Schizosaccharomyces pombe: one gene and its partners. The gene in region 3 interacts genetically with the main gene of each other region. Each region holds a gene or a part of one and is shown on either strand. Other genes may lie near its edges. The genes, in order: gpd3, nic1, slx9 and nup97.

The links.
Region 1: mutations in slx9 (region 3) and gpd3 together harm fitness more than expected from each alone (negative genetic interaction), as found in Schizosaccharomyces pombe (one large-scale study listed by BioGRID).
Region 2: mutations in slx9 (region 3) and nic1 together harm fitness less than expected from each alone (positive genetic interaction), as found in Schizosaccharomyces pombe (one large-scale study listed by BioGRID).
Region 4: mutations in slx9 (region 3) and nup97 together harm fitness more than expected from each alone (negative genetic interaction), as found in Schizosaccharomyces pombe (one large-scale study listed by BioGRID).

What each region holds. Positions count from the first base shown.
Region 1 is NC_003423.3:575,212-582,270, forward strand, and holds gpd3 (glyceraldehyde 3-phosphate dehydrogenase Gpd3), read left to right. Parts: upstream 1-2,905; 5' UTR 2,906-2,970; intron 2,971-3,513; 5' UTR 3,514-3,519; coding exon 3,520-4,527; 3' UTR 4,528-4,845; downstream 4,846-7,059. Other genes in the region: Rho-type GTPase-activating protein Rga6, read left to right, coding at 6,036-7,059.
Region 2 is NC_003421.2:40,574-49,540, reverse strand, and holds nic1 (plasma membrane NiCoT heavy metal ion transmembrane transporter Nic1), read right to left. Parts: upstream 5,999-8,967; 5' UTR 5,697-5,998; coding exon 4,470-5,696; 3' UTR 3,847-4,469; coding exon of another isoform or gene 2,629-3,846; 3' UTR 2,556-2,628; downstream 1-2,555. Other genes in the region: glyoxylase III Hsp3101, read left to right, coding at 1,066-1,800; SPOM_SPCC757.02C (epimarase), read left to right, coding at 2,629-3,846.
Region 3 is NC_003424.3:494,953-501,376, forward strand, and holds slx9 (ribosome biogenesis protein), read left to right. Parts: upstream 1-3,104; 5' UTR 3,105-3,218; coding exon 3,219-3,221; exon of another isoform or gene 3,222-3,262; coding exon 3,263-3,778; 3' UTR 3,779-4,075; downstream 4,076-6,424. Other genes in the region: dop1 (family protein DOPEY), read left to right, coding at 1-2,737; erd1 (EXS domain-containing protein), read right to left, coding at 4,332-5,453; SPOM_SPAC227.19C (uncharacterized protein), read right to left, coding at 6,165-6,296, 6,414-6,424.
Region 4 is NC_003421.2:2,161,476-2,170,725, forward strand, and holds nup97 (nuclear pore complex component nup97), read left to right. Parts: upstream 1-3,545; 5' UTR 3,546-3,556; coding exon 3,557-3,750; exon of another isoform or gene 3,751-3,799; coding exon 3,800-6,161; 3' UTR 6,162-6,323; downstream 6,324-9,250. Other genes in the region: transcription factor TFIIF complex alpha subunit Tfg1, read right to left, coding at 1-40, 90-888, 930-1,025, 1,109-1,648; protein Cwf26, read left to right, coding at 1,745-2,643, 2,684-2,690; SPOM_SPCC1620.12C (GTPase-activating protein), read right to left, coding at 6,324-8,240, 8,306-8,311. UniProt on the Schizosaccharomyces pombe protein: Has a role in meiosis.

The DNA of each region.
Region 1 (7,059 bases), on a different chromosome or scaffold from region 3:
GTGAAATAGAGAAATAGTGAGAAGAAAACCACCACCGAAATAGCGAGACCCGCAGTATGTTACTTCACGAGTCTCGCTATTTTAGGATTGCATAGGTTATCGGATGGAATCCAGTAAACAAATGGGTAAGGAAAAGTGCGATCAATGATGAGTGGGTTGGGTTACAAATCAATATAGTCAGGTGAAATTAATTCGTTTCTCGATATAAAAGCAATTGAGAAAGGAATTGGATAAAATTTACAGAGAATTAAAAAATGGAGACAAGAAATAAGTGAAATGGGAGTGAACGCTCTTGTAAAAAAGCTATTGAGACAAGTGAAACGGTGAGAGAATGCGTTGACAAATGTGAAAGAAAAGAGAAAAGGGAATGAATATTTATAACAAAAAAAGGTAACAGGATTATCGATGAATTTTGGGGAAAATTTATGTTGAATTGCATGACTTTTTAGAAATCACGCCTCGAATACCGTTAGACATATCATGGTAAACATGTGATTTAGGAATTGGCACATGTAAATGAGGTTGTTGGGTAGAGAGCGGATTTGAATGGTGGTAGATAATTTAGGGTAAATTTGGGATGGATAGAGTAAATGTGAAAATAGTATGTAGGATGGCGGGGGATGCGTGCGAAAGAAAAAGAACGATGCGAAATGAATTGTAAAGTATGTGACTTGGGATGATGCGAAAAAAAAAGAGTCTGGAATAAAATTTGAAGAAGAGAAGAAATACAGTAGGTGGGAGTGCAATGAATTGAATTGGAAGCGAGGAAGCGAACAAAATCGATGGATAACAAGTGAATGAACAACAAAGTGAATTTAGTTTAAAGTCAATTGCTTTGTTGAAAATCAATTTCCTCTGTTTTATCAAGTGTGCGAAGGACAAAGGGAGTAAGAAAGATTCAAAAAAAAAAAAGAAAAGAAAAAGAGGAATTCCTTTTATGAGACATCCAGTTTGTTTGCGAGAACGCCAAGAACTCAAGCGAATATGGAGAGACGACGGTGAAACACGGTATGTTGCATAGTGTAGTGCGGGGTGGATTGCAAGGAGAATGGGTAAATTAGCAAGCGAGCTGGACCCCATTACTGTGATGCATGAGGTAACGCAATGTGCTAAAATGTTTTGGAAAGAATGACACTCTACGTTAGGATAGTGCACGTTGTTGACACTGCTCGTTATGGAGGACAAGGAAGAAACTAGTTCGGCCGTTTGAAGGGAATGGGAATGGGAATTGAATGAAGAAAGAATGGATTGAAGTAGTCAATTGATTAAAAACTCATATTTTTTTGTGTTACTCATTGACCTTTATGAAGACAACAATTCTGGGTTTCCATTGCTTACAGTGTGTTTCCATAGAGCAAAGTTCTTTTTTGATGGCTTTGTTTTTACGTTGCATTACTGTGTTATTCCTCACTCTCTGTATGTGAGTCTCGCGCTGTTTCAGCTGCTTCCTCCTGCTTCCTTCGGTTCCTTTTCCTTTCTTATCGGACGGTGGCCCGCCAAAATTAATTTCGCCTACATAAAAAGTGACGCAATAGAAACTCTCGGAACCAGTATGGACTTGAGGATGAGCGCATCCCGGACCTTGAAAGGATCCTCGTCGATGGTTGATTCGTCAGCTCATTCACATAAGGTTTCTCTAGAAGGTGAATTAGGGTTCTTTCAATCCGAATCCGCCAACCATCACAAGACCTTGTAACCGCCCCGGAAACTCAAATTGTCCCAACTGCCGATCAATTTTTTCCGAAGAAACAGCTTACGATTAACCGAAGGAACGTCCTGGGCAGTCAAGCGCAGAGGAACATAGTGCAAAGCGTCGTAGTTCAGTATAGTCGGACAGCAGAGTATTGTTGAACTCGATAAAGTAGGGGGGGAGAGAGAGAGAGAAAAAGGAGTGGAAAGTGGTAGTAGGTAAATGAGAGATGTCAATAGAAAGCAAAAACTTTATACAATAACAATCTCAACATCAACGATTTTCCTTTTCCAACTGAATCTCTTTTCCAAACTGTGCACTGTAAACAATTGTTCTATATCTTCTCCTTGTTATTCTATGTCTTCTCCTTCATGTTCCACGTCTAACCCGCTCCCTTCCTACCTTTTCGCTACCCTCCTACCCTCCTACCCTCCTCCATCCTCCCTCACAAACAGATGATGTTAACGAGACTTTGCACCTCGTTATTCCCGAGGAGCCGCTGGGATGCCATGAGCCTTGCTAATAGCCCTGTTAGCACGGTCAAACAAAATCATGCAATTCAATGCAAGAATCGTCAGCCTAACAACAGCTAACTGGGCCAACCCTCTAAACATTCCATTCCATCTAGGCATTGGAAACGCCATTCCAAGGGCGGATTGATGGATGATGGAAGGGACGAGACTGACACACACAGCAGATATACTCGATGACTATTAGTGAAGTGAGTCGATGAATAGTGAAGTAAATGAACATTTTTATAGAATCAATAGAAATGGATTGAATCCAATTGCATTCGAAATTTCACAGTTGACTTGGATTTACCACTTGTCTCATTTCTCCCACTTGTCCTCTTGATTACTATGCTATGCTATGCTATGCTATTCTCTTCTCTTCTTCTTTCCTCTACACTCATTGTTTACATTTCTTTTTCTTTTCCACCGCCATCCCAACTCATCCATTCCATGCCATTCCATCCTTGCCTCTCTCGTTCCTGTCAAGCGAGGCGAGGGAAAGGTCAACGCAATGCGTCGATTGTTGTATGATTATGAGCCAAAAATATTCGCATGGGAAGTTATCTAGAAGGCCGCTAATTTCATTATCCGATCTGCCAAGTACCGAACACGGAAATCGCCGCTTACGATACCGTCGTTGGCATGACAACTCTAGCGTAAACACATACAATATAAATAGGAGTGGTAGGCCAGTCTGCTTCTTTGTAGTATCAAGAAATCAGCAATAGTACTTGTTTGGTTTTGAGAAATAGCAATCGAATTAATTAGGTATGTGATGCGCTGTGGCATTGGCAAAGCATTGGCTTGGTGAGACATGTGACATGTGTCAAACACCTGCCAAGAGGGAAAAATAGATTGAGGAAAAGGAAGGGATATTTTCTTTTGATATTCTCTTTTAGTTGAAAAAGATGGATTTTGAGCGATGAATTGAAATGAAAATGGTCAGTGAGATTGCCAAGAGAAGAGGCTCTCTGATTTTACTTGACATGACGAAAACATGTCATATCCAGTATGGTGAAATTGTACAACGAAGTCGTGATAAGATTCGTTAGTTTCCGTTTCTTTCGGTAAAGAAGGCTTTATTTTTCGCTTGACGGCAGTTTGGTCAGAAATTAAAATAGACTTGCCGAAAGCGACAAAGCTGCTGTTTTTAGTATACTTTCTTTTCTATTCTTCTCTCAATAATGATATCTTTTCTTTTAATGACGCTCATCGTTTCTTCTTCTTCTTCTCTTCGCTTTCTTCCCTCTCTCGCTTCTTTTTGCCTTTTTCTCTCCTCTTTGATCTCTTCTTCTTACTAACTCTTTTCAGATAACAATGGCAATTCCTAAAGTTGGTATCAACGGTTTCGGTCGTATTGGCCGTATCGTCCTCCGTAACGCCATCCTCACTGGCAAGATCCAAGTTGTCGCTGTCAACGATCCTTTCATCGATCTTGACTACATGGCATATATGTTCAAGTACGACTCTACCCACGGTCGCTTTGAGGGCTCCGTTGAGACCAAGGGTGGCAAGCTTGTCATCGACGGTCACTCCATCGATGTCCACAACGAGCGTGACCCCGCCAACATCAAGTGGTCTGCCTCTGGTGCTGAGTACGTTATTGAGTCCACTGGTGTCTTCACTACCAAGGAGACTGCCTCTGCTCACTTGAAGGGTGGTGCCAAGCGTGTCATCATCTCTGCTCCTTCCAAGGATGCTCCCATGTTCGTCGTCGGTGTTAACTTGGAGAAGTTCAACCCCTCCGAGAAGGTTATCTCCAACGCCTCTTGCACCACCAACTGTTTGGCTCCCCTTGCCAAGGTCATCAACGACACCTTCGGTATTGAAGAGGGTCTCATGACCACTGTTCACGCTACCACTGCCACCCAAAAGACCGTTGACGGTCCCTCTAAGAAGGACTGGCGTGGTGGTCGTGGCGCCAGCGCCAACATCATCCCCTCCTCCACTGGTGCCGCCAAGGCCGTCGGTAAGGTTATTCCCGCTCTTAACGGTAAGCTTACCGGTATGGCTTTCCGTGTCCCTACCCCCGATGTTTCCGTTGTTGACTTGACCGTCAAGTTGGCCAAGCCTACCAACTACGAGGACATCAAGGCTGCTATCAAGGCTGCCTCTGAGGGTCCCATGAAGGGTGTGTTGGGTTACACCGAGGACTCTGTTGTCTCCACCGACTTCTGTGGTGACAACCACTCCTCCATCTTCGATGCCTCTGCCGGTATCCAACTTTCTCCTCAATTCGTCAAGCTCGTCTCTTGGTACGATAACGAATGGGGTTACTCCCACCGTGTTGTTGACTTGGTTGCCTACACTGCTTCCAAGGATTAGATTGCTTCTTTCGATTTATTCCGTCGTCAATCTATATCTCTCTAATCAGCCGTTGTTAAACTCCAAGCTATTCAACTGAACATGCGTTCGGTTTTGGGGGGTCTTACATATGTGCGAACTTTTGGTTTTTTATTCTTATGCTTGTTTTCCCCCTTTTCCTTTTCTGGGGTTTGCTACGATAATGATAGACATGTATGAGATTTTCCTCTTTTATTCCACGTTATCATTTTGATTGCGCTCCTAGGGCGATCTCTATAGCTGACGACCTTTCTACGAAATAGATTAAGATATAATTTTAAATGAATTGTTTTTTCTTCACTTGTTTTTAATGTGTAAAAAATCCGTAAAGTATGTGGTGTATGAAAATTTTGATTTGAAATGTGGTAGTTTATTGGAGGTAAAAAAGGTAGACTGATTTATAAAGCATTATATAGTTATCATAGTTGCTTGTTAGCATTCTATTACCGTTTGCATTTGAGATAATTGTTTTCGTCTTGATGATAGATATTCGCTAAGATGTTTCCATAAACTTGGCCCACGCTTTTTTGGGTGAAGTAAATAATTTTTCAGTCCTTTTGAGGGCCTCTGCTGCCTATCTTTACTGCCCCTATTTGCAAGTTTCTAGAATGGAAGTGTAAGTCAAACGATAAGAAAAATTATATATTAATAGATAGCAATTTAAATTTAGCATTTTCATTCTTAGTGTTCGTTCACTCCACTTTCCAGATCAATCTCAGACCATCAAGTATGATGATGAAAGCGAGTGTTCCATTTAGGCGGTTCTCGCAACTCTTAATGTTTGATACTTAGAGCTGTTTGTGCTTCAGAAAATTATTCAAAAAATTTCATGCTTGCATTTGATTCTTTTCTGGATAACAGCTAATCCTGTTTTTTGTATTTTGTCCTTTGGTTTTTTGATACCGCATTGCTAGTCACATGTACCCTCATAAAAAATACAGTTATATCTAAGCGAGAAACAATCGCTCGATTGCGAGGCTCATCTATGGAACTGTTTATACTTGTGTCTCATGTTCCAATAGCTTGAAAGTGTGTTTAAGCATGAGATTGTTATTTAAATTATCAATTCATATAGTAACAATATCTGCTTTGGTGCCAAACATTTGAATTCCTTACGAACTAATAATAAGATTGCTTCTCAGATTTCTCAGTGGAATACTTCCATTAGTAACTGCACCATGGGAGTTTGAAAGCTGCTGTCTTTCCTTAAATTACAATAGTCCGTGTAGAAGATGAGTTTTTGGTTCGTTCAATATGTGACTACTTGTTCACCTATCTTTCGCTTCGGCTCGTACTCTACTTTTCAACGCCTGCTACTTGGCTGAACCTCTTAGTAAGTAACGGATGTAGAACGGTTCTTACCAAAGCCAACGTCTCTCTAATCGACATTTATTTCAAAATTCTATCAGTGGAGAGTATATATTGAGGTTTATAGCTTTTACGGGCCTCGAAAACCTCGTGTAGTAAAATTTGAAATTGTTGGGAGAAGTATGACCTTAAATCCTTCGACTCTCAACAATGGAACTCTTGGGGACCTGAAAGAGCACAAGGATGTCGTCTTGTCTAGCAATGCGCAGACCGATGAGAAACGTTTCGAAGAACCGTCGCTAGAGGTGGGAGGATCGTTAGCGAAAGTGGAAAATGGCCTTTCCACATCAATTTCATCATCTGCAAGCAATTTGGAGGGACAGCAAGCTCCTTTCTTTACTAAGCAAAATTCGTGCTTGTCACGCTTTCGTGAGCTAGCTCAGACTTACAACATACACGAAATTAATCTCGAGGAGTACGTTTCCCAGATAAAAGAGGTTAAACAATCTCTGTACTCCGACGATAGCGTATTTAATGAATCCAAAAGTTCTTCACCTCCAGATGCTCATACTGATAAATATTTCACTCCATGTGGATCCCCTACTAAGCTGATACACTCGACACTATTGGAAGAGAGAGATACTCCGTCCTCCCTAGAACATGTTAGCTTTTACCTTCAAGAAAGCGCAGTATCAGAAGTTCGGTTTGATAAACCTTCAAACAATGGTCCTCTAGGGAGGTCATCCCTAAATCTAAGCTCCCTTTCACACGAGTTACAAACTTCACAAGATTCTCCCTCCTTGTCGGCTACGAATCAACTATCCTCATCAGATACGTTGGAACCTCTCCAATACCCACCATCTTCATTTGGCTCTCAAAGACAGTTCAATGCCTCTCAAGATTCTCCAAAGCGAAGCCCTTCCAAGGGATCTTGGTCCTCTATCCTCCGCCGCCCCTCTCTTACTTACTCTCCAAAACGTCAGTCCACTGGCTTGCATCGTCGTTCTTTAACGAATTATTTTAAATTTCCTCATCGTAATGCACATCAACATAATGCAATTGCTCATAATCCTTCCGTATTTGGTAAACCTATCGGCGATTTAACGTCAGATCCCACAAATCTTTGCAAATTTACATTTCCCACTCCTGAATGTGCACCTCCTTCTTTGTTGCTCCCACATATTTTTGCTCAATGCGTACATTTTC
Region 2 (8,967 bases), on a different chromosome or scaffold from region 3:
GCTGTTTGGAACCTGTTTAACGATACATAGAACTGCGGTGAGTTTTATTTGCGACCTACAATATAGCGGTATGCAATATTTAACTAACAATGTATATTAATTGTTATATGAAGTCTATTAGTATCGGTGACCATATAGCTAATAGCTAATAACTGAAATGAGAAACGAGGGTCAATTGTAGCTCTATTTATAATCTTTCTAATAGTTGCTATCTATGTAGATAGACAGATAGTTTATCTGTGCTTTTCACTAATGTGTGGTGCAGTAGTATCTTAACATATGACATATAGTGATACGCAACGCAGTGTATTATAGCGCAATGTAAGTAGTTGACATCTTATCTTTTTAATGATTTCGAATATAGAGGCGTTGTTGGTATAAAATTATTCGAGCTCTAATCTAAACGTAAAACAGTATAACGTGGCATACTGAAGAGCAAAAAAAGAAAAAATATAATTAAAGTTGCGGTTGGCGAGTGTAAATGAAAAAAACTTAAACCTCTTATTTTATCTGAATATTCAATAAACTCCAATTGAATAGATCAAATTTACAGTTGTCTTTTGAAACGAGCAACATTCTAGCTTGGTATGTTCATATAGTAATAAAGTACTTTAAAAAATTTCCGTTCACAATCATAGACTACGAAATTTTAATTACGCATCGCTCACAATCCTAAAACGTATGAGGAAAATCATGATGATAATTGAAACTAGCAAAAAGTCCTTGAAGCAAATCTCTCAAATCAAGATGAAACTTATACACTAAACAATACAAAGAGATTTGCATTTTCTCAGTAGCGATCGCAATGTCCTTCTACACAATAGAATAGAATTGTGCCGAAACCACTTTAGATTCAAACGTATCCATCTGATTTTAAGATGAATTTAACATCATATTGACACAATGCCCTCGTCACTCTTTCTATAGAAATCCAAGAACCTGGTAAATAGATTACGTGAGTAGTCGTAATGGAAATTCATCCCGCTTTTGCAATTAAGTGATGTTTTTTTAAAATTTGTTATTTATTGAGGTGAAGCTGCAAAGATCACCCATTCATTATACACCATGGCATCAGAAGGAAAAGTACTTCTCGTGGCAAGCAGTTACTATGGACCATTTTATCCAGATGGAATGAATACTGGAGTTCACTTTGCGGAACTTTTGATTCCCTATCAAGTTTTCAGAGAAGCGGGTTATGAAGTTCAACTAACTTCAGAAACAGGAAAATGTAAATTCGACGACCATTCAATCAAAAAATCTGCCTTGGGTGAAGTGGAGAGGGATGCTTTTGACAACAAGGATAATGAGTTTTGGTATGCGCTGAAGGATATTAAGCCTGCCGATAAAATTAACTACAAAGAGTTCTGTATCATGTTTATTGCAGGAGGTCATGCAGCCATGTTTGATCTACCACATGCCACAAATTTGCAAACGCTTGCTCAACAAATTTATGCAAGCAATGGTGTACTTGCTGCCGTCTGCCACGGTCCAGTTATGCTGCCTTTTGTAGATGACACCAAGTCACCAGAAGGACGTTCCGTCGTATATGGTAAGAAGGTTACCGCCTTCAATAGTACTGGAGAGCTTGTAATGGGTGTATCAAGTGCTTTGAGAGAAAGGAACATGCAAGATCTGAACAGCTTGTTTAGAGAAGCCGGTGCAGAGTTCGTTGACCCGCCTACCCCGATGTCCGATTTCACTCAGGTAGATGGAAGAATTGTAACAGGTGTGAATCCAATGAGTGCTAAATCTACAGCGGAGGCTGCCATAAAAGTTTCACAATCTCTTCGCAAGACATGAACCATCCATTTTTGTAACGATTCTTTTTTTACTCTACCTGCTAAATGCCTTGATGAATTCGACATTGATGAAAGCGTATAATTGATGGCTTCAAAGATCGATCATTAGTTTTATTTCGATGACTAAGAGACGGTTGTAAATAGCAACTTGAGCTTTAAAGACCAATATTAATGACACTTAAATTTCTAGAATAGCGAGAGTTAATAGTGGAACAATTTATTGTTTTTGTTAGTAGCTGGATTTTATTGGATTTATTTATTATTTCCTTTTTATTTTAGATTGTTAGTTTTTGAACTAATTACGAACAGCTTGTGAGGTTTCAAAAATGACTTTTAACCATCCAACCAAGCAACCTTCCAAGCAACCTTCCCATAAAGTTAACAGTTTATAGTCAGGTGTTCTAAAACAATTAGATAAATATTCATTGTTATGTTTTTCCATCAGTCGCAAGGGGCATCACTGCAATGGTGCCTCGATTTCTCTGTATTCAACTTGCTTGCTAAGCTCTAACAGCGTCCCTACATATAGTCAGCATTATTAAAATACCTTTTGTATTTCATACCTCAATCAAATATGACCATACATACTTGCAACATCATACTGTTATTATCACACCGACATGTGTTCACTAGCTATTGTGAATTTCACAAACTAGAACAAGTCTATAGTATGGATGATGTTACTAGTGATATAGCAAAAGTGAATGAGATCATAAAATTTGGGTATAAATTAAAGCATAAATGCTATATATATATATATATATATATATATATATATATATTTCATATATGCGAGATTTCTTAAAAGATATTCAAAGTTAGAAACACAATGGCAGAAGAAGGTTACGTGGCTATAGTGACTGGGGCAACAGGATTAAATGGTGCAGCTATTATTAAGAGACTGTCAGAGGATGATAATTGCAAAACTATACACTGTATTTCTCGTTCGTTGAAAGATGAATACCCTAGAAAAATCAAGCATCATTCCATAGATCTGCTAAATGAAGAACCCAAAGATATTGCAAAAAAGTTTTCTCTCGAGGGGGTTAAGGGAATAAATTATGCATACTTTGCAGCTTATAAAGAAGAAAATAATGAAGAAAAGTTGTGTGAAGTTAACGGTAACATGTTGAGAAACTTTGTGCAAGCATTAGAACTTACTTCCATTCAAACTTTGAGACGCGTAATTCTAACCACTGGTCTAAAATTTTATGGATTACATTTAGGAGAAGTTCGTTTGCCAATGATTGAGACAGACATACGAGTACCTGAAACATTTAGTGGAACTCCAAATTTTTACTACGTTCAAGAAGATATTCTTAAAGAATTTAGTAACGGTAAAAAATGGGACTACACCATAGCTATGCCGAATGATATTTGCGGAGTATCAAAAGGAAGCTACATGAATGAAGCATTCACTATAGCATTATATGCTTTGGTTTGCAGGGAGCTTCATGAACCGTTCCGATTTCCAGGAAATGAAAAGTTCTATCTCGGCTTCGATGATATCTCGTATTCAAAGCTAATTGCTGATTTTCAATTATGGATGACATTTAAAGCAGAATGCAGTGAAGAGAAATTCAACATTGTAAACGGAGATATTCACAGTTGGTCAAGAACTTGGCCTAAAATAGCCGAATATTTTGGGGTCGAGGTACCAAAAAACCAATTTGCAACGGATTTTACATTAAGTACAGAAGTTACTTTAAGTACACCTTCTCCCATAAATCTGTACGAAAAAGAGCTCGGCATTAAACATACCCCCAATAGTAAAATAATAAACCAAATATCGCTTCAACAATGGGTCAAGCAAAAGAAAGTCCAAGACGCTTGGAGGACAATCGCAGAAAGAGAAAAACTCAATGCTCATGCTTTAGAAGTTGGGACTTGGGCGTTTTGTGATTTTTTGTTCGGCAGGACGTACAACGTTATATCCTCAATGAGCAAAGCCAGGAAGCTTGGTTACACTGATTACTATGATACCTTTGATGGATTTAAAGAGACATTTGATGAATTAAAAAAACAGAAACAAATCCCACAAAATTAGTCGAACTCATGAATTTCTCATTTTTTATTTTATATAAAAAATTTGAAGAATGTTCGAATCTCAGAAATGGAAGAAACTAATTCAACTTTTTCTTCGACAGTTTACTAATCAAATAGTCAAGCAATGAATGAATCACCCAATGAAATCAATTCTTTGTCAAGAATTTTATAAAAGTATTCTAGAATACATCGGGTAATATATTTGACCCGTATGTTATATTGAATAAACCTGCATTTTCAAGCCTCCAAAAGTTGAGTAAGCAAAGTGCTAATGCCGATACACAGTATTTTTTTAAAAAAAATACAGCCCTGGTATTTTGCCCGAATCATAAAGCCAGGCCCAAGGAGGATTTTTTGTTATCATGTAAAATATGTAAAGAATAAATTTTTCACATTTTGCTTGCCTTTCTTTTTTCACACAAATAAATTGCTACTAGCAACTGTTTAACCTATATGACCTCAAACGAATGTATGTGGCTCGTCTGCTTATTCAAATCATCAATATCGAACCGAGTTTCTATTTCATCATGATAAAGGCATAAAGACTTTTAACCCAAGCAACAGGTTAAGAGAACAAATCGAGAATACTGAAGAAAAAAAAAGGAAACAGAAATTCCCAGTCGTTCAAACCTTAGAATCCACTGTATCGTAACTCACCTTTTCACTTTCGGAAATTTGAACAGAAATCGAGTTTTTTGATACGTTTTCTAATTCTTTATTTTTCTCTAGAACTTCGTCCTCTCTGTCATTTCCTACTTGCACTGGAGGTGTAAATTTTTTCTTAAAGTAATTATGCATGGAAATACCAAACAAACCTGCTAGAACAAAGGCACCGCATATACATCCACCGACTATTTCGTAATTATCAGATAATCTATTGAGGCCATTCCAAAATGTACTTTCCATTGGGTGGACACTTATGATTAGCATAAGCATTTGAATGATACCAATTGTAAATGCTGCTATAACCGAAACAAATGTTAAAATTATGGAGTAATAAAGCCTAGAGAAATAAGGATTGGTTTCACCCGAAGAATATGAGTAAGCATAATACATTAATGCTCCATCTGTGGTATCAACTAAGCACATTCCAACAAGAAATACAATGGGGAAAAGTAAGATTGCCCATATAGATGTTCCTTTTAAGGCTTGCAAGGTTGCGATACCCAACAAGGAAACCTCAGTACTGGTATCAAATCCCAATCCGAAAACAAAACCAAGTACATAAATCTTCCACGGAGAGTCAACCAATCTAAACAATCTCTGCATTTTTCGAGCTAAGAATCCGGTGACCCCTTCATCTTTAGTGACACCAGATTTGCGATACATCCAAAGCCAATACGATAACCGGACTAGTAAAACGGTATTTCCAATTGCCAACAAAAGTAATAGTCCCATGCTAACTGAAGTTCCAATTATTCCTCCTATGGTTTGAAAGTTATTCCATCGATCTGCAAACTTACTGGAAGTAGCTGCTACTACGATGCAAGTTATAAGGACTACAGTTGAATGACCAATGCTGAACCAAGTTCCAACTGTTGACATTGGTTTGTCTGTTGATAATAAACGGCGCGTTAAGTTGTCAATTGCAGTAATATGATCAGCATCGAGAGCGTGTCTTAAACCAAGTGTCCAAGATAATAAAACTGAGAGAAATAACGATCTGTTAACTAAACTGATGACTATTGCCGCAACTATCCAAACTACGATATTTACCGATATCAAAGAAAAGATAGGCACGCTAACCTTTGGTGGAAGCTTTGATAGAAAGGGTATTTCGAAATAAAAATTCTCAAACTTCCTTAGAAATTCATTTTTTCTAGGTTTAACATATTCAGACATACTGTTCATACAAATAAACGCGTAATTTGAATAGATTGCGTTCACATAAACCTGTATCCACTTAGGATTCCAATAATAATAACAATTTTACCTAATATCACAACAGTTCTGCAACGCACTGTAGTAGTTTACTTTAAAGGAAGTAAATCGCTTGAGTTTGTGAGAAACGAACTTGGTTGACTCACAAAGTTCCTATCCTCAACACAATGGTAAAAGAATTGAATAGTGCAGAGTGTAGAAAAGATGAGCAGGTGATTTCAAAGGGTAAAATCAAAGCGATCATGAAGGATACTGCTGTAGTGCAACCTATCAAAGTCATATTTAATTCACGTGTCGCAGATTCATCTCGTAAGCAGCAACGACCGATATGGCGGTGATGCTTAAACGTGTTTATTGTCAGCAATACTACACTACGCTATGATACACTACGTTGAGTATCACTATATGTCACATGTTCTAATTATATATCGTACCATGTATGATACGATATGGAGATTGATCTTAATGATAATCTATTAAGATCAATATTATCTGAATACTATAAATAGAGCTACTGCTGAACCTCGTTCCTCAGTTCAGTTATGAGCTATATTAGTGATAGGTAACATTATAACCCAGTTAATACAATACCTATACTCAGTTGCTACTTATACAACCTGTGTATTGTAATATAATAGATCACAAGGAAAACTCACCGCAGTTCTACGTATCTTTAAATCAGATACCAAACTGCGTAGCTTACATATAAATTACATAACGCTAATGTCATACAACACCGTATTCGTCTGATTTGTCTACAAAAATGTAAACAAACAATTATTTTATCGCATTGATACAACAAACCAATTGAATATCGCCTTTTGAAGCATAAACTTTGCATTTAAAAGATGAATAAACAAAGGAAGAAGTTAATTGGATCTCACACCGCATAAACGATGCATAAAGTTTGATGTGGTGTCGTAACGGTGTATTATAGGTTGTTAACTGAGAGGTAAACATCAAACGTTTTCCGATTGGGTCCATGAATAAAGACTAAAAATGAGTAAATGTAAACAAACCCGACTATATATTGAGACTATTTTGTCAATTGAAATTCATAACCTCACTTCCATTCATACAGCTAAACATTTTTCAGGATTTTAGCTTGAAAAATGGGAAAACAAATAAACCAGTATCTTTAGAGGTTGTCAGTATCCATATCTTAAACAAAAGGTTAAATGCGGTTATGAGTGTCATCAAGCACGTTTCCGTAATGAATTAAAATTCAACAAAATACAGCGTGATAAAACAACGATACAAATCTTGATTTTACAAGTTATCGTTTGTTCTTTGTGATTATGTTTATCATTATCATCATTTACTTTTATTAATATGATGACTAGCTTTCCTACCCAAAAGCATGTTATTGTATTAGTAATTTGGTTACCCGAAAAAGTATAAAAACTTTTTCACTGGCTACCCTCTTTTGGTTACTTCCTATGGTTGTAAATATTTGGAACATCTTTACTTTCCTTCTTCATCGTTTTAGGAAAGACGACATTGTTCTTTATATTTCGCATTACTGCATGGTCGGTGAATCATTTATTTGACCAATGATTCAAGTCTTGTAATCCCCCAGTTCATTAAGAGGATTTCAGTTTCTTCTTTTAATAAGTTTAGTGTCGTCATTGAAGATTAGGTCAAAACAATGGCAATATCTGGCCCCATTTGTTTAAAATTATATTTTCTATCTTGTTTTCAATTTTCAATATTCGGAAAAGCTTCATTTTTTGAGATAACTTAAGAGAGATTTTTACATTGCTATGTACATTTAATTATGCCCACATAGATTGGATACCCAATAAAATTTGTGAAATTTTCAAATAAGCATATGCTTTGTAACAATATAGGATATCGGCGGTTCATTTGTTTTCAGTGCCAAGTCGATCTTTTAATGAGGAAATAATGAGTAGACTGTAAGAATTTCAATATTGAAACGTAAATTAGATAAATGCACTTTCGTCTCTATTTGTTAGGTAAAAAAATGCGAGATTAAATTTGTTTCACACTATTTTTCTAACGATCAATATATTCAACTATTTTCTGAATTTATCTTTTACAATAACAGTCAGGTATATTGACTTTTTGATTAAATTTAGAATATGTGAAAGTATTTTGCTGTTTTAGTGACTCTAAGCAATATTTATAATGTCGTCTACCGCATATTCCCAATAACCGATTATGTACTTGTAAAATCACTCAATTAATATTTTTATAATCTTTAGCCTTATAAACTTCAAGTTTTTTTTTTAAATTCGAATAAGCAAAGAACCTTTCATTTGTAGGATAATGAGCCCTAGTAAGATTTGCATTCGTAATTAATCTTTTAAACACTTAACAAACTGCTGTGTATCTTAATGTAGCGAGGCGAGCACTACAAGGGTAAGCGTCGTCAATTTAAACATTCGTTAATTACCTTTTTTAATCAAGACTAAACAGCATGCGAAGTTTTTTAAGCATTATAGGAGGTTTGATCCTTGCTAGTTGTTAAACACTATTTAAGTTAACTAGAGTAGAAGCGGATGCTCAAATGGCTCTTTTGGCTTTGGCAAATTCTTTTGAGAAGGTTAAGTTGGACAATGATAGTCTTCAACTTCGAATAATTGTCAATTGATGTATGCAAACGAACAGACAATGTGTATTCTCTTACAATATTCGAAAGTCCGGTGGAAGTACAGCCATTACTCATTAAAATGCCGCAGAATGGGATCAGCAGTTCGGAATGTGGGTTGTCTTAAAGCACTATTGTCCTCAAATCTTTGAGCAAAATGGTAGACTGTCTGCGTCCCTATTCATTTCCTTTTCTGAAAGAGATCAGTTGATTGGTCCATTCCTGTATAATGGGGAGTCCGTTCGTACTTTTGCATTATCCACTGATTTTACCTATCCAGGTCATTTTCTATCAGTTAAAGAAAAGAAAGAAAGACTTTTTTGCTTTGTCTCAAGACCTCTAACTAAGGAAGGATCACCTATCACCTGCTGGCCTTAAGGTTTGGTTAGATGACAAGTGTCAAATCCATGACATGCGTAACGCTGCTTATTCAAATAATGCTTTGTATTACAGCCCTCTAGTATTAATTTTCAAATTTTTTCCGACCTCCGTTTATTGGGTACACCTAATGAAACCACAACCCTCCGATTGTTCCCCCATGCATTGTGCTCTTACACTGCTCATTGTGAGTTCAGCTTTTGGTACCGCATTCTTTTTGGTGGACAAAGCCTTCTAATTACAACTACCTTG
Region 3 (6,424 bases):
CACTCGTATAATTTCTTATTTTCAAGATCTTCATCCTAAAGAAGGAAGACTTAAGAGTGCGAAGCAGGTAGAGGAACTATGCCTGGTCACTTGGGCTGACGCCCTTTTGATTCAAAAAAAATCTTTAACTTACTCTTCATTTCTTGCTTTTTTAGTCAAACTGTGCTTAGATATAGTATTAACTCCTCAAAACATAAAAACGAGCACAGATGTGTATATTATTCAAACCTGGGCTTTGCGATTGCTTTACCAAATAACCTCCATATGGGAAAACCCTCTAAAATTTGAATCTAGTCTAATCGTTGGGTTGTTTGCGCTTGTACAGGAAGTTGAGCGTTCTCCTTCATCAACTTATCGAAGTTTTATTTTGAGTCTTTTGCAAATGCTAGAATTTTTACTCTCTCGATTAGATGGGACTATAGATCTTTCCTCTGAACAGCATTATCTGTTGTCCAATTTTGTTTTGGTTGGAATGTTGAATGATGATCCAGGACTTTCGCCAAAGTGGCTACATGCTATAAAGAAGCTTTTACCTCTTCTTTTACAAAACCTTCAACTTTTGATGGTTAATCCCATTCAATCTTTGTGCAAATTTGTTCATTCATTTCTTGACCAACACGAGTCTATGTACCTAAAATACCCTGACCCAGTAAAAGATTATGCGTGCATGGATGTTTTTATTGCTAAGTTGAAAATGCTTAGCGAGTTAGTTTCAGCAGCCTTATTGGAATTCACATATTCACCCGGCCCCAAGAAAAGTAATTTAGAAGCCAATGGTATCATCGGAAATGTCATTTCTGGTGTGTTTGCAGCGGAGTCGTCAGGCGTTAGCATCGATGTCAACAAGAGATTATCTATGCTTTTAACTATGCAGGATGCTTTGCAAACATTATTTTTATCATATTCATGGCATATTCGGTCTTCATATGCTGATAAAACGTCAAAAGTATTTATGAATGATTCATCGGTTTTAAAAGAAGCATCCTTATCGGGATTAAAAGAGTTTTACTTCTGTGAACCTCTTGAATGCGTAGAAACGCTGGTACAAATCTATTTGGAGAACAATGTTGAGTGTTGCCAGTGTATATGGGATATATTTTCATTTCTTAGTGATTCTGAACCTCAGTACATTGTTAAGCAATTAGTTTCTTCTTTTTTTGCACGTGAAGGAATAGCTAGTTATGCAGGGCCTTCTAGTTTGACAGCAAAGATTACACAACTCGATATTTTATGCTGTATGTCTGACTTCGTCTCCAGAGTGGAGGGCGAAAACACATCTAAGATTTTTACGGAAATTTCAAAATTTGTTCGGGAGATTATTTCTTCCTCAAACAGCTTTAAAAACTATTTGCTGGTATGTTTACGAATGCTACTGGAAGTTGCAAAAAACGTGAACACTTATTGCGAATCTCGCCAGCAAAAAGACTTTATTGATTTGATGGGGAAAACATTGTCCTCAGTCTTATTTCATGCAGGAAAATCAAGTGATCCAAACCTAACTGTAGATTTTCTGGCGTATCATAAAGCTGCTGCAGACACGTTTGAGGTTGCCAAAACACAAAAGAAAACTAGCTCCGTGTATTTATTCGTAAAATACTTAGATCCCTCTTTGCTTGACTTTTTCTGTTCTGAGTTTGTTCCAAAAATAACCGAGCTTTCTAAGGAAGAAGATAAACTAGTTGCTTGGGCTACATCAATCGTCAATGTATTTATAACTCCTTTAGTAAAGGCTAGGACATTTCCGGAATCACTCACCACTTATCATTTGGACTTATTGCTCGTGTTGAGTAAACATCCGTTTTTGAGTAAATCATGGAGGCGCGATTTTTGGGAAATTTTTAATGATAATTCACTGTTCAGGTTCGATATTGATCAATTAAGAAAGCTTTCTCCAGTAATATACACAGCTTTGTACCAAGAGATATCTAGATTAAATGATCTCATAACAAAATCTGATTTAGGCGTTACTACTTTATTTACATCTCGGGATACTCAACTAGGTGCAAGGCAGAGCAACATATGTCGGATCACAATATTAATGTTATCTTCTCCACGTGATTTTTTCCTGCCTAGTCTTCCACCTCTGATTGACCTTGTCAAACGGCTTATAACGTCTGATCCTGAAGGAGTATTAAAAAAGGACCTGTTTTTATTTATTAGAGCTCTAGCTTTAAGGACCTCTTCGAAGCATTTGCTTCCATTATGGCCAATCGTTGTTAGCGAATTGTTGATCATTTTTAAATCTTACTGTATGCCAAATGTTGCCATTTCTAAAGAGACATTATTAGACGCATGCAGGCTTTTGGATTTTTTAACTGCACTCAAACTTGAAGAATTTGCGCTACATGAATGGGTTGTGATGCTTAGTCCACTAGATGCTGTCTATTGGAGCGGAAAAACTAGCCGTAAATCCCTCGTACAAAAGGTTTCTGAGCGACTTCAGGAGCAAGCATCGGAGAAGGACGACAAATCCAGTGTTGAATCCGAACATTCTATTCTTACTTCAACTACAAGAACCCCTTCTTTAGGCATTTACACAACGGACGCTCAATTAAGAAACTTTTTAAATCGCATTTCTATAGACGCTTATGAAGAAAGCTACTCGTTTTCAACAATCGACATACAATCTTTTGAAAATTCTATTTACAGGGAAGTTCTTCAAAGGTTTTCTAATGCTCCCCTATCTCCCTTTTCTTCAATTAAGGCTCCATCAAGCCTGGCTGGCTCCAGTAATTAATTCATAGTATTTTATATCGATTAGGAAGTCTAGGCTGTGTGGCTTCTTATGTAACTTCCAGTTACTCTAACCTAATTATTTTTGTATGTATTTTCTTTTCAAGTTTCAATGTTTATATTCGGAAAATGGCTATAGGGTTTAGTTTGCAAATACTTTAGGAACCATGTTGGACATTCATTTAAAACTGCTTTAATTTATAAAAATTGTTAATTAATGTTGTTTCTTAATTCATTGCACATAAGATGGAAATTAATGTAAGTTAAGTTTTTCATTTCAAATACTAATATTATGAAACCAACTTACGCAATCAAGGGCAGTCCGTTAAATCCGATGCCAATAGTTGTAGTGAATTTTTAAACCAGAAAGCACACCGAATATTCAAGATATTTCACTCCAATCGTAAATATTATTTTGGTTATATATCCTATTTAACATTTAAAACGATTTTTATCGATTGATTCACAATCAATTTTATTTTAGCATGGTATGTTCATCCATAGATAAACGTTTGGCTGACGACAACAGCCAAAAGCAAAAAAAAGAGTCAGTCTAGCGTCAAAAGCATCAAGTCGTTTACCGTCTTCTGGTAAACCTAGCCAACAAGCTAGTATTCCAAATGTCGAGTTATCTTCCACCGTTACTTCGAATAGTCAAGTGCTCAACAATGATCCGCTGAAAGAAACAAAGAAAGATAAACGGAAAGACCGTCATTTCAACTGGCAGCAAAAATTTTCTAATCCAAAAATATCTGCTTCGGCTCGTAAGCGCCGGAACCGTAAAGCCAGAGAAAACCTGAAAGTCAATGTGTCTTCGATTGGAGAAGTACTTCCAGAAATTGATCTTGATATTTCGGTAGCTAACTCCAGGTTGAAGCCCGTAATTAAGGATAGTTTATCTTCTAAACAAACTAAGAGTTCTATGAAACGAAATACCGTTGAGGAAATCGAAAGGTTCCAAGCCATATTGAAGCACCCTTCATTCGTTTCAAATCCTTTGGAAACGGTACGGGAGCACTTAGGAAACTCTTTGGATAGTAGATAAATAGAGCATGCTCATGTCTAGGTAAATTTGGAAGGAATTTGAGTACACTATAAATGCATGATTAATTTGGGGGGTTTTCTTTGGGAGGTTCTTTTCATACTTACTGATTATGTTTTTACAATAAAAAAGTCTACTGATCTAGTTTGTTATTCAGTATGCAAAAAGAGAGCTTGATTTATTTATTTATTATTAAATTCATGTTTTAAACTTTTGACTCAACAACTTAATCAGTAAAAGATGGTGAAATTTGTTCAAACCCATTACGATTCCCATGTAACAAATAAAAGTATATATCCATAATAAAATTTTAAGTAACTTTCTTACTTTAAGTAAACCCAATTCAGCGAGACGGTGCCATTGTGTTGCAAGTCCGCAAATGACAATGTACTTGCAATATTAAACCATTAGCGCAATAAAAGAATGAAAAACATATTATATGCCAAGCAAATAATAGAACGGTAAATTGATACGCCCTAAAGAAAGAAATTTTTTGAAAAGGTTGCAGATGTAATACCTACACATATGTGACAATAGTAACTTCAATCATTTCCATTTAATCTGGATGTATTGTCGGGATGTCACTACGATCACTTATGTTAACATAGGCCAATGATTTAGAAGCTTCGGCTTCTATCCGAAAAAAAACCCAAACACAACGTCGGAAAACTTCAAGAAATTGCATTATAAAGATCCCAAAGTCGGTGGTAAAAAACGCGGATTGATGTTCAGGCAAAACGCGAACTACCCAGGCCATTCGCAAAACAAAATCAATCGCACTTACAACTGCAAATGTGAATGTTGGGAATAAACGCCGAACCCCAAATTTCCAGTTTTGGATTGATAACGGTTGCTTAAAAAAGGGAAGACTCCAATCCATTGAAACATCCCACCAAAATGAATAAGTTGAATTTATAGCTGAAGAGGTATTCCATAAAAACCATAGAAAGCTAAATCTTTTCTTTGCAAAAATCCCAAGGAATATCGCTGGAAAAGCAGTGAAATACTTGATAGAATTCAATGTACTCCAAAATTTATCTGATGAATTATCCGCAGAGCTTCTTTCAATCAAACATTGACGAAATCGGATAGCGTATGGATACGCTGCAATCATTGACATAATAACCTCATTTTCATATTGTTTTCTATGAGAGTTATTAGGTGAGTCAGTTACGTAAATCAAGATTGCTCCAGCTAGCCAGAGATCAGCAATGACCCTCGAGTAAGAAGTCAATAAATCAGAAAATATAACATCGGGAAATTTGTAATCAGGTCTGTAGCTTCCTCCCAAAATCCTTAGACACTGTCGAGTAAACACCTTTCTCTGGAAGAACCAGAACTTATGTACAGGCATAAAAACAATAACACCAAAAATAAAAACGGGGACGTATGCCAATTCATCAGACCCAGAAATCAAATATAAGGATTCGGCTATTACGAAAAGTAGAGTACCTAATATAGATAGGGAGAATGACAATTGCCATAGAGGAGCATTAGCTTGCTGTGATCGATTGACAGGCAACGGAGTATGTAATAATGAGAACACGTCGACCCTATTTATCACTAATAGATGTAATATCAATGTGAAAGAATAAAGACCAAATACGACCAAGAAGAATAATCTCAATACTAGAGGAAAATAATTGATAAAGTGATTCAAATCCTCTATCAACGCCATATTAAATAAAAGGGAGAAAATCTGAAATAATATATTAAAATAAACTTGAATGCAATTATACAATGGATGAATTTTTACAAAGAGAGACGCAAACAGTGTAAAATATGTCGAGTCAAGTTGTACAGCCGATCTTCTAATTATGATGATAAAACTTGACTCATAAATAATGAAAATTATCAAATAAAGGGTTCTATGATGATAGAGATTAGCATTACTGCTTGAATGTCGAGAGGTGCGTTGTGGAAATGAATGCAATAGGGTACACCAAGGTAAAATCTTAAATACCACCACAGCCAAGAATCATGTTGGTCTCTACAAAGAATGGTGGGATTTTACAGTAAAACTTAAAACATGAAAAAGTAAGGTGAATTTTTAAATATATGACGAAACTTGTGTTATGCTGAATATTAATATTAAGCTGACAATGAGTGGTTTGGTTTAGTAGCATATAGATGATGCGAGTAGAGCAAATGGGTTACGCTTAAAGTAGTATAACAGATTTTGTTGAATGGAACATCAAACGAATCAGGTTAGAAAATGATCGTAGATAAATTTGATGGCTCAATCATCTGATAACCGTTCACACCTCAATTTACTAATTATGCTTGAACTCCTTAAAAAAGTCTTGAAGTTGATTCACAATCCTTTAATAATACAGATTGACGGTTTTCGAAAAATGGAGAGCAAATGCTTATTCATTACTTTAAAAATTTATCGGCGCATAGCGCTTGGAGAATGCCGAAAATATTTGAGTCCAAGCCAATTAAAGAATAACCATACGAAAAAAACCACTGTACAAGTCAGAATTAATATACATGGATAATAAGAACGAATAGGTGAAACCTGTTAAAAATATTAGAACCAAATTTGTACAAGATAGAGAAATTAAAACATATTGGTACAATGACCCTGGCAGAAAATATTCGACGATGCCATTGAGATTTTAGCATCATAACTTACATCGCCATCAA
Region 4 (9,250 bases), on a different chromosome or scaffold from region 3:
AAAGCCTTCATTACCTCTGCCTCCGTAATCAGATTAGAATCTAAAAGCACGTTAATAAATTTTCTGGTAAATGTAAAACTTTAGCATACCATCAATTGGAACATTTGTAGTATCTCCCACAACCTCCACTTGATCTCCTACACTCGTTTCTGTAGACCCCATGCTAGGGACCATACGGGGAAAGTCATTGGCAAACCGTGATAACTTTTCACTTGATAAGCGGAGAATTATATATCCAGGTTTGTTAATAAGTTGTTCTTGAGGCCTTATTTGAATAGAAGTATTAGGTGATTGTAGTTGCGATGAAGCTTTGACAGGAGATACGCTGCTTGGCGTTCGTTCTAGTGGTCTTGGTGTATTAGTTTTGGAAGCGTTCGCAGAAAATCTAGACTTTAGTTTTTCTTCACGCTTTTGCAATTCTTCTTCTTCTTGCAAAACTTCTTCTTCACTAGACGCATCATGGGAGGAAGCATAAGGGTCCTCATCTTCCTCATCACTCTCATAAGCTAAATTCTTTTCAAGCAATTTTAAGTATCTTTGCAGCTTTTTTCCTTCACGCGACATTTGTCTATCATTCTCCTCTTCAAGGTCGACATCTTGATCAGCTTCACCAAACAAATTGGCAGTTAGCATTTCCTTTTTAATCTTGTCTTTCAACTTCTTATTATCTTCTTCATTTCCTTCCATAATAGGTGCTTCTTCATCGTCAGCGAATTCCTCGTCATAATCTAGTTCATCATCACTTCCACTAGCTCTCGGTCCCGTTACAGGACGTGCATTTGGAACCGTCTTAAGTTTATACATGGGTGAAGCAGAGCCTGCCTCTGCTAAGTTTTCTTCACTCTCCTTTTTCATAAACCAGCGAGGAATCGGAGTTTTTTTATTCATCTAAATGGGTTAGACAAGACCTGATGGAAATAAGGACTGACCTTTGCCTCCGCTTCATCAATTGAAAGCGTTTGGAAATTGTTACGTTGATTAAATCGATAAAATCTATCAGTTGGAATCACCTTAAAACCATTTTCCTATAGAGTAAGCATAAAAAATCTTAAATGATCAAAAGATGAATGATAAACATCCAACATCTTCAAATGGGATAAAAACTTACAGAGAACATGAACAATACATATGCAGACGATTGGCCGCCTTCCATCGTACTAACCCATGTGTTTTTTCCTTCAAAATCTTCCATAATCCAAGGAGATAACTCCTCCTCTTGTAGTCTGCGGGCCTGTGGATCAACTTTGACGACCTGGCGAGTTTTCCTTTTAAAGGCATTCTGCTTCATGTTTTGAGCGCCACCGTAAGGAGCGATTGAAGCGATGTTCACGTTACTGGAGCTTCCTTGTTCTGCATTTTGTTCTCCGTTTGACGAAGATGGAGCATTGGGGTCTCTGCGTTGCATTTTTATGGGTGGCACAAAGGATTTGGAAGGATCAATGGCTTTGTTAGAGTGAAATTTTAATAAATGGTATTTAGTTGTTTTTCTTTCACTCTCTGGACACCATGAAAGCTGGAAATCCAAAAATTTTTGCTGCGATTGTGTCGAAGCATTATTTTGGGAGTCAGGCTCCTCAACTTTGGGTTTCTTCTCATCAGGATTTTCCTGCTTTACATTTTCAAAAACTTTTGTCTCTTGTGAATCCATGTTCTCCGATAAAATATGTCAATACTGATCTTCCGCCGGTGTTGGAAGGTAGCGAGTTAAGAAGCGCTCAGGTAAGAAAATATGCATTCAGCACATATGTCAAACGCCGACTATATTGCTAAAAAGTATTTACGAAAAGATCAAGGGAAAAAGAAAAAGAAGAAAGAGAAGGATTTTGTAGAAATTCAGGATGAAGATGTCGCTGGATGGGACGATGACAATTCATTTTCACTAGTCAACAGAGAACTCACATCTTTGCATGATGCCCCTACAATTGTCGCAAATGAAAGCCTTAAAGATCGAGATATTGATGCTATTTATCAGAATATAGAAAAAACTACTAATAAACCTGCTCAGTTGTGGAAAGCTGTGGGGAATGATGAAGTTGTCGAATCTGAACAACAGGATTCTCATGATGCTGAATCAATTCCTCAGTTCGGTCTGTTAACTGGAAAGCAGGTGACCTTTAAAGCTGAAGAAAGAAGAAAGAGAGAAGAGAAATCATCCAATCTTGATGAGGAAGAGCTTCGCAAAAGTCGCGAAACTGTTTACAGAGATGCCACAGGGAGAAGGATAGATCTGGTTCTTGCAAGAAAAGAAGCCAAAAGAAAATTAAAAGAGAAAGAGGAAGAAGCTAGAAGACAGAAGGAACAACAACAAGGTGTGGTTCAAGTGCGTCAACAGAAAGAATACCTAAAAGAACTTGAAAGGCAAAAAACGGTGCCATTGGCGCGTTATGAGGACGATCCTGAATACAATAAGGAATTGAAAGAAAGGTCTCGTTGGAATGACCCAGCTGCTTCGTTTCTCACTAATAAACCTGTATCATCAAAAGCTACTTATCAAGGATATGCGCCTCCCAATAGGTTTAATATACGACCTGGCCATCGTTGGGATGGAATTATTCGTGGTAATGGATTTGAAAATAAATGGTTTCAGCGCCAAAATGAGAGAAAGGCACAAGAACACGAGGCACATATGTGGGCAATTGAGGAGTAAGTAATCAGTTTTTGAATAAATCTCTAACGAAATCAGCATGTAAATATTTAACGATTTCATTATTTCTTCTGCTGAAAATGGAGGAGACTATTTGGTTTCATGTATATGATATTGTAATGCGAGTTGAACATAATCTCTTCTAGTTTACGAGTGTCAACCGAGGCACAATACTTGATTTTCCAGATTCTGTCCCATTTCCTTTAATTAACTAATGGCTTTGATATTTACCTACAAAAGCAAAACGCTTATAGCAAATAGCTTTATTGGGAAATCGCACACCACGAGACAATGGTAGCCTTATCTATACTAAAATATTTTTTGCTAGTTTATATATATTTATTTTTAAATTTCTGACGATTTCTTAATCCTATATTCAATTATGGGTCATTAAACGTATGAGTATGAGCGACCACGGCTGTTAGTAGTAAGAGGGTTTGAAATATCATCCATTCAGTTATTTCTCTAAATTCTGAACACTTTTTACCAATATTAAATATCATTTCCCTATTGCTGTCCCTAAGGGCCCAAATAATTCACTGCTGATTCTGTGAATTCATATGTATTGGCTTTTAAATGATAGTAAGAGCTAAACGAGAACAATCGATGTTTGAAAATAGTATTTTAAAATTTTTAATTTTATACTTTTTAAGCCCTTTCACATCCACATAGACAGACTTGACTTCACACTTGCTGTATACGTAAAGCAAAGCTTTTTGCATAAGAATTTGTAATTCCAACCGAGTACAAGGATGATTCAAATACTCTTTAACGTTTTACTGTTGACCTGTTTAGTATGAAATATTGTTTTTAACAATTAAGGTTCGGTGAACTCGGTGACTTCAATTTCCTTAGTTCACCGAGACAGATTCTCTCAAACGCATTGTGCTTGTTTACATCTTGACCATCGCCATGACGGTTGCGTCTGACGATTCACCAAAGGAAGCTAGAGGCATACCTTTTTTAGATCAAAAGTCTCGTAAACTTGCTAATGAGTTGTTGGAACCATGTCTTCCGTTTATCCAGTTCAATTTGGGTGAGATTGAACAACGCGCAAAACATTACTTGAACACCGTTCCTACTAGTAAGGATGGTAATACAAAAGCGTAAGTTATTTGTATCCTATTAGATATATTTGTCTAATGAACGATATAGCCATTATTTGCTTGCTGGAAGCGGTATTAATGCCGAACAAACATGGAAGAAAATTGAGTCGCTCTCTCTACAAGTAAGACCTCCCACTACTCTCGAGTTGTCCTTTACCGATGTAGATATGTTTTTGAAGTATCATCGAGAAAAAAATGTTTTAAATTCTTTGGAAGCATTGGTACAAAACACCCAAATAGCGTTCGATCAATATTTGGAAGAGGAATGGCGTTCCAAAGCTGCAAAAAGCAGACCCTCCTTTGATAATATTTTACTTGAAAATAAAAAGAGAGTATCCTTTTATCCTTTCTCGGTGCAACGTTCGCAGAAGTTTGCTTCCACTTTAAAAATGTGTCTTGAGGAGGAAGCACTGCACGGATTTCAATCAAAGCTTGTCAGTTCTTTTTGTGAGGTTGCAAGAGAATTTGCTCATGATACAAAGTCTCTTCTCCTTTACGAATCCTGGAAGTTACTTTCCTCTGTTATATTGGATAAGGATTCTGTGACAGTGTTTGGCAATAAAGGCATAATCTCAAAAGCCTTTGACATTGAGACTGAGGATGGCTCGGTTAACTCTCGGTTCTATCAAAGGATTTCTGACTGTTCCCGTAAGTTCCTTGAAGCTCAATTTTTTGAAGTTTTGAATAAGGAAATTGCAAAAACCCCCCAGGCTGCTTTGGTAGGCGGTGTTCCTTCAATACGTAACAAAATTCGAGCGTATTTGAACATTCGTCTATTAAGGAACGGTGTTTGGATTAATCCAGATTTAGAAATAATCCAAGATGTTCCTATATGGGCTTTCATATTCTATCTATTACGATGTGGTTTTTTAAAGGAAGCAGTGGACTTTACTGAAGAAAACAGAGATCTTTTTGAAAAGGTGGCTGAGAAATTTCCTTTTTATATCAATGCTTATGCGAAGGCTCCGAATGGTATTTTACCAAGGCAACTTCGGAGTCAATTGTTTTCTGAGTTTAATCAAACCATTCGTCTACAGGAATCTTCTGATCCTTATAAGTATGCAGTATACAAAATAATTGGACGCTGCGACCTTTCTAAAACTTCGTGTCCATCGATTTGTTCTGTCACTGAAGATTACATCTGGTTCCAGTTAATTTTGTCACGTGAATTTACTGAAAAAAGCGTTTCCGCTCACGAATTTTTTTCATTGGAAGATGTTCAACATATTTTGCTTTCGTATGGCTCCGATTATTTTACTAACAACGGATCTAATCCCGTTATGTACTTCTTTTTGTTAATGCTTTGTGGTCTTTACGAGCGTGCCATTAATTTTTTATATCCTTATTTTCCAACCGATGCAGTCCATTTTGCCATTACTTGCGCATACTACGGTCTGTTGCGCACTGCACCTTCTAGCTCAGTTGTCAGTAATGAACCTGGAAAGATTCAATCAATGCTGGTTGAAACAAAATCTGGGAAGCCTTCCCTTGAATTCGATCGGTTGTTAATCGATTATACCCAAACTTGTCAAGAATTAAGTCCTGTAATGTCTGCCTGTTATCTTATACCAATGTGCAAAATTGATAAATATATCTCGATGTGTCATAAATCTCTGTGCAGTTTGGTACTTTCTACTCGTGATTATGTTAATCTTCTTGGCGATATACGTGGTGATGGCGAGAGGACTCCTTCCTTTTTGGAGAATCACAGGTCTTTGATTGGTCTTTCTTCTGTAAAAGAATACTTATCAAAAATCACTCTTACTGCTGCTAAACAGGCTGATGATCAGGGATTATTATCTGATGCCATTCTTTTATATCATTTAGCTGAGGATTACGATGCGGCAGTAACAGTTATAAATAGACGGCTGGGCTCTGCATTGCTAAGGTTTTTGGACCAGTTTGTTTTTCCCGATAAACTTATATCTTTAACTAAAAGTATGATGGATGTATACAACAGAAACCCTTCTTTGTATGCCAAAGTGGATTACAAAAATCGCGAGACGACGAATTTGCTTTTATTGACTGTGGAGGCGTTCAATGCATATACCAATAAAGACTATGAACAAGCTTTATCGTCTTTACAGCAGTTAGAAATTTTACCCCTTGACCCACTTGACTCAGACTGTGAAACTTTTGTTGTGAGAAAACTTGCAAAAGAATTTCGATTTCTCAATGAAAATTTATTACAAAACGTACCTGGTATTGTTTTAATAGCCATGAACAGCCTTAAAGAACTTTATGCTAAACAAAAATCTTCATCTTTTGGAAATGACGCTATATCCGTGGATAAGTTACGCCTATATAGACAAAAAGCACGAAGAATTGTCATGTACAGTTTCCTGATAGAATATCGTATGCCTTCTCAAATTCTTGAACAGTTAAATCGCTGCGAAATAGAAATGACATGATTATTTTTTTAAGGTTGTTTATTCTATGTTTACTTGACTTCACTAAATTTTTATGCCTATACATTCATTGAGTCCTAATTATCCATCATTAAAAAAGTGTTGAATGCACTAGTCTTCATGTTAATAATAATAGCAATAAAGAGTGATCTTTGGTTTATCGTGCTAATTTCTAAACATCTCAGAGACACTTTTCCATTTAGTTTGTAGCTGAGCATGTTTTTCCTTGAGGTCATTTAGCTGCTTTAAAGTCTTTCCAAGTTCCTCATCAAGATATTGTATTTGTTGAATTGAAGTAGCATTGTTTTTAAGAAATTTTTGATTGCGCTGCTTAAGGATTGAGATTTCTTGAAGAAGCCTATTTTCCAATTCCTGAGGCTGTTTCTCTAATTGAGCTTTCAGATCAGCAGAATTATTTTTTAAAATTTCTGTAGCCTCCTCCATTTCGCTTCTTGTTACTCGATGGTTGGAAAGTGCTTCAGAAAGTTTAGTGTTTTCCTTATTCAACATAACCATTCCCTCCTCTAAATTAGTTATCTGAGAGGTTAAATAATCATTTTGATTTTTAAGTTCCTCTAAGTTATTTTGGCGATAGGTGTTGTGAGATACGGAGGTTTCGTGATATGAAAGATAGGATGGGAACTGAGTAGTATCGATGTTTAGAGCAAGTGAATCTTCAACCCATGCATTTAAGTCGACAGGAGTTCTTGTGTAAAATGTATACTTTTGGACCAGAGGCTGCCGATATGAAGCTAAAACGTCTGAGCGTAAATACTTAACCCACTGTTCATGAGAAACCATATTTACAATCTTGTCCCGATCCTTTAAAAAAATAGCAACAAGAAGACGCACAAACATTTCCAAGCCGTAGATAGCAATTAAATCCATAAGGCGGAGTGCTTCGGGTAATTGCAACGAATCGGCAAAGCAGCATGCTAATGATGGATATAGTATACACAATGAACTAACTTTTATACGTTGTAATGAGATAGCGACACTTGGTGCCAAGTCACCCAAACAACCCCAAACCAAAGCGAAAAGACTTTCGTCAAGAGAACTGGATTGGGATATGAAAAACTCACGAATTCCACCTCTTTGAATGAAACAAACTAGCGAACGGAAGGCGTTTCCTTGAGCCATATACGATAGAAAAGCACAAGTTAACCATAGCAAAGGTTCAATGTTATACTCAACAGTTGTATCAAACAAAGTAAAAGCATGCAAAACGTGAAATATAGACTCAGTTGAAACTTTATGCCTTGTAGTAGAAGAATATTTAAAAGGCTCCAAAGGTCCTCTGAAAGATTGCATACGAATAATCTTCCGAATAGAAGAATCCAAAGAATTATTAGTAGTACTTAAAGTAGCGTAAAGTGTTAGAAGTTCATTACGTTCAGCGGAAACAAGGGATTGCCAGACCAGTTTTCGACACGGAGATGGAATACAAAAGTTATTTTGTTTAATTAGTTCTAAAATCGGTGTCAAGGGAGGGGGAGAGGAGGATGTAGCATTGGGATTAGAAGGATCAGGCGGAAGGTCATAAGCAAAAAGAGGCACACTGGCCCATTGAAGCCAATCGATATTAGAAACGGGAATTGACTCTTTTTCACATTGTTGATTAAGCTCGAAAATGATTGATTGAATACGTGAATCGTTAATGGCGCTATTTAAATCGCCGTGAGACTTGTAGGAATCGCGTAATTGTTCAAATTCTGTTTGATTATTATTTATTTTGGAGGATGAAATATTGGTAGATGCAGTTGACATAAAGGATGGAACAGGGGAATGACCTTGAAGAGGTTGAATGTTAGGTTTTTCAACGGCCAAGCGATTATCGCTTTCCTGGGGAGGAGTGGGACGCAACATAGAAGAATCTATAAAATTAAGTTCCCGATCCTGTTCTTCCGTTTGCTGCAAACTAGGAGATGAGTAGTCTAAACTAATTTCCTTCATTGAGTGGTTTGAGGATTCCGAAGACCCAACTGAGACAGCAGAGCCATTTTGAAGGTTCTCCTTTAAGTTTTCTTGTTTCACCAATGTAACGCTATTAATTGCGCTAGATAGGGAAGCGTTTACAGATTTCTGGAGTATCAAGATTAGTTAGACACCTGAAATGATTGAAGTAGATAGATATTAGCAAAACATACAGACATAAAAAAGAGACCCTTATTAGTAAAAAATGCTAATCTGTTCAAACTAAAATTGTTTTCTCTCAAGCAACTGGAGAGGCCGGTAACCCAAGTATTGTTTACAAGTGAAATAGGCTTAGGAAACACGAATTAGTAATTATAAAGGGAAATGAAGATGCCCTCTTTATGAATTGAAAACGCTTTTAAAACAGATCAAACACTTTCGTTTCGTTCAGTAAATGTATGTATTGTGTGGGTGGTAGGTATCTGAAAGGATATAGGCGGCATCGATTACTACTTTAACAATGGCGAGCCACTTTCCTTTTCAGTAGTTCCCGTCAAATAGGAAGAATTTATTAGGTGATTTTGTAATACTTATAATTCTAGGTTTATTCGGTTTGTCAGTTAACTTGTTACAAGCAATTGTCCAAAATGAATTTACAAGTTAAATAAGAGAGAGGGTGATGAAAATTGAGATTGTTAATTTCTTTCAAAAATTTAAAATATAACTTTTCTTAATTGGACCTGCGTATATTCTCGTACTTGAAAAGAAGATACAGATTCGAAACGATTAAAGACATTTACGACATGCAAAGCGCTCGTGTCTAAGGATTGAAAAATTGTGAGCATTCAAAACCTTTTCTTACTATCTTAATGAACTTATTTTTTACTAAATATCGAAAGGATCAATGTGTGAAAACATCGTACCTTTGAACGTGCAAATGGGATTTTAAATTATAGCACTTTAAAGAACTTATAAAAATTGGACTCTTTATTTTTTGATTTTATAGCCTATTGATTTCAATAGTGATCATGAGAAGCGTATACATCTTTTGAAGACTACGCATTTTGGAAAAAACATATGCACACATCCAGTATCAAACAACAACAATATCTCAATGTAGAGTACAGTATTTATTAATCAATATTCCATAATATAATCCAATTTGATGTACTTCGTTG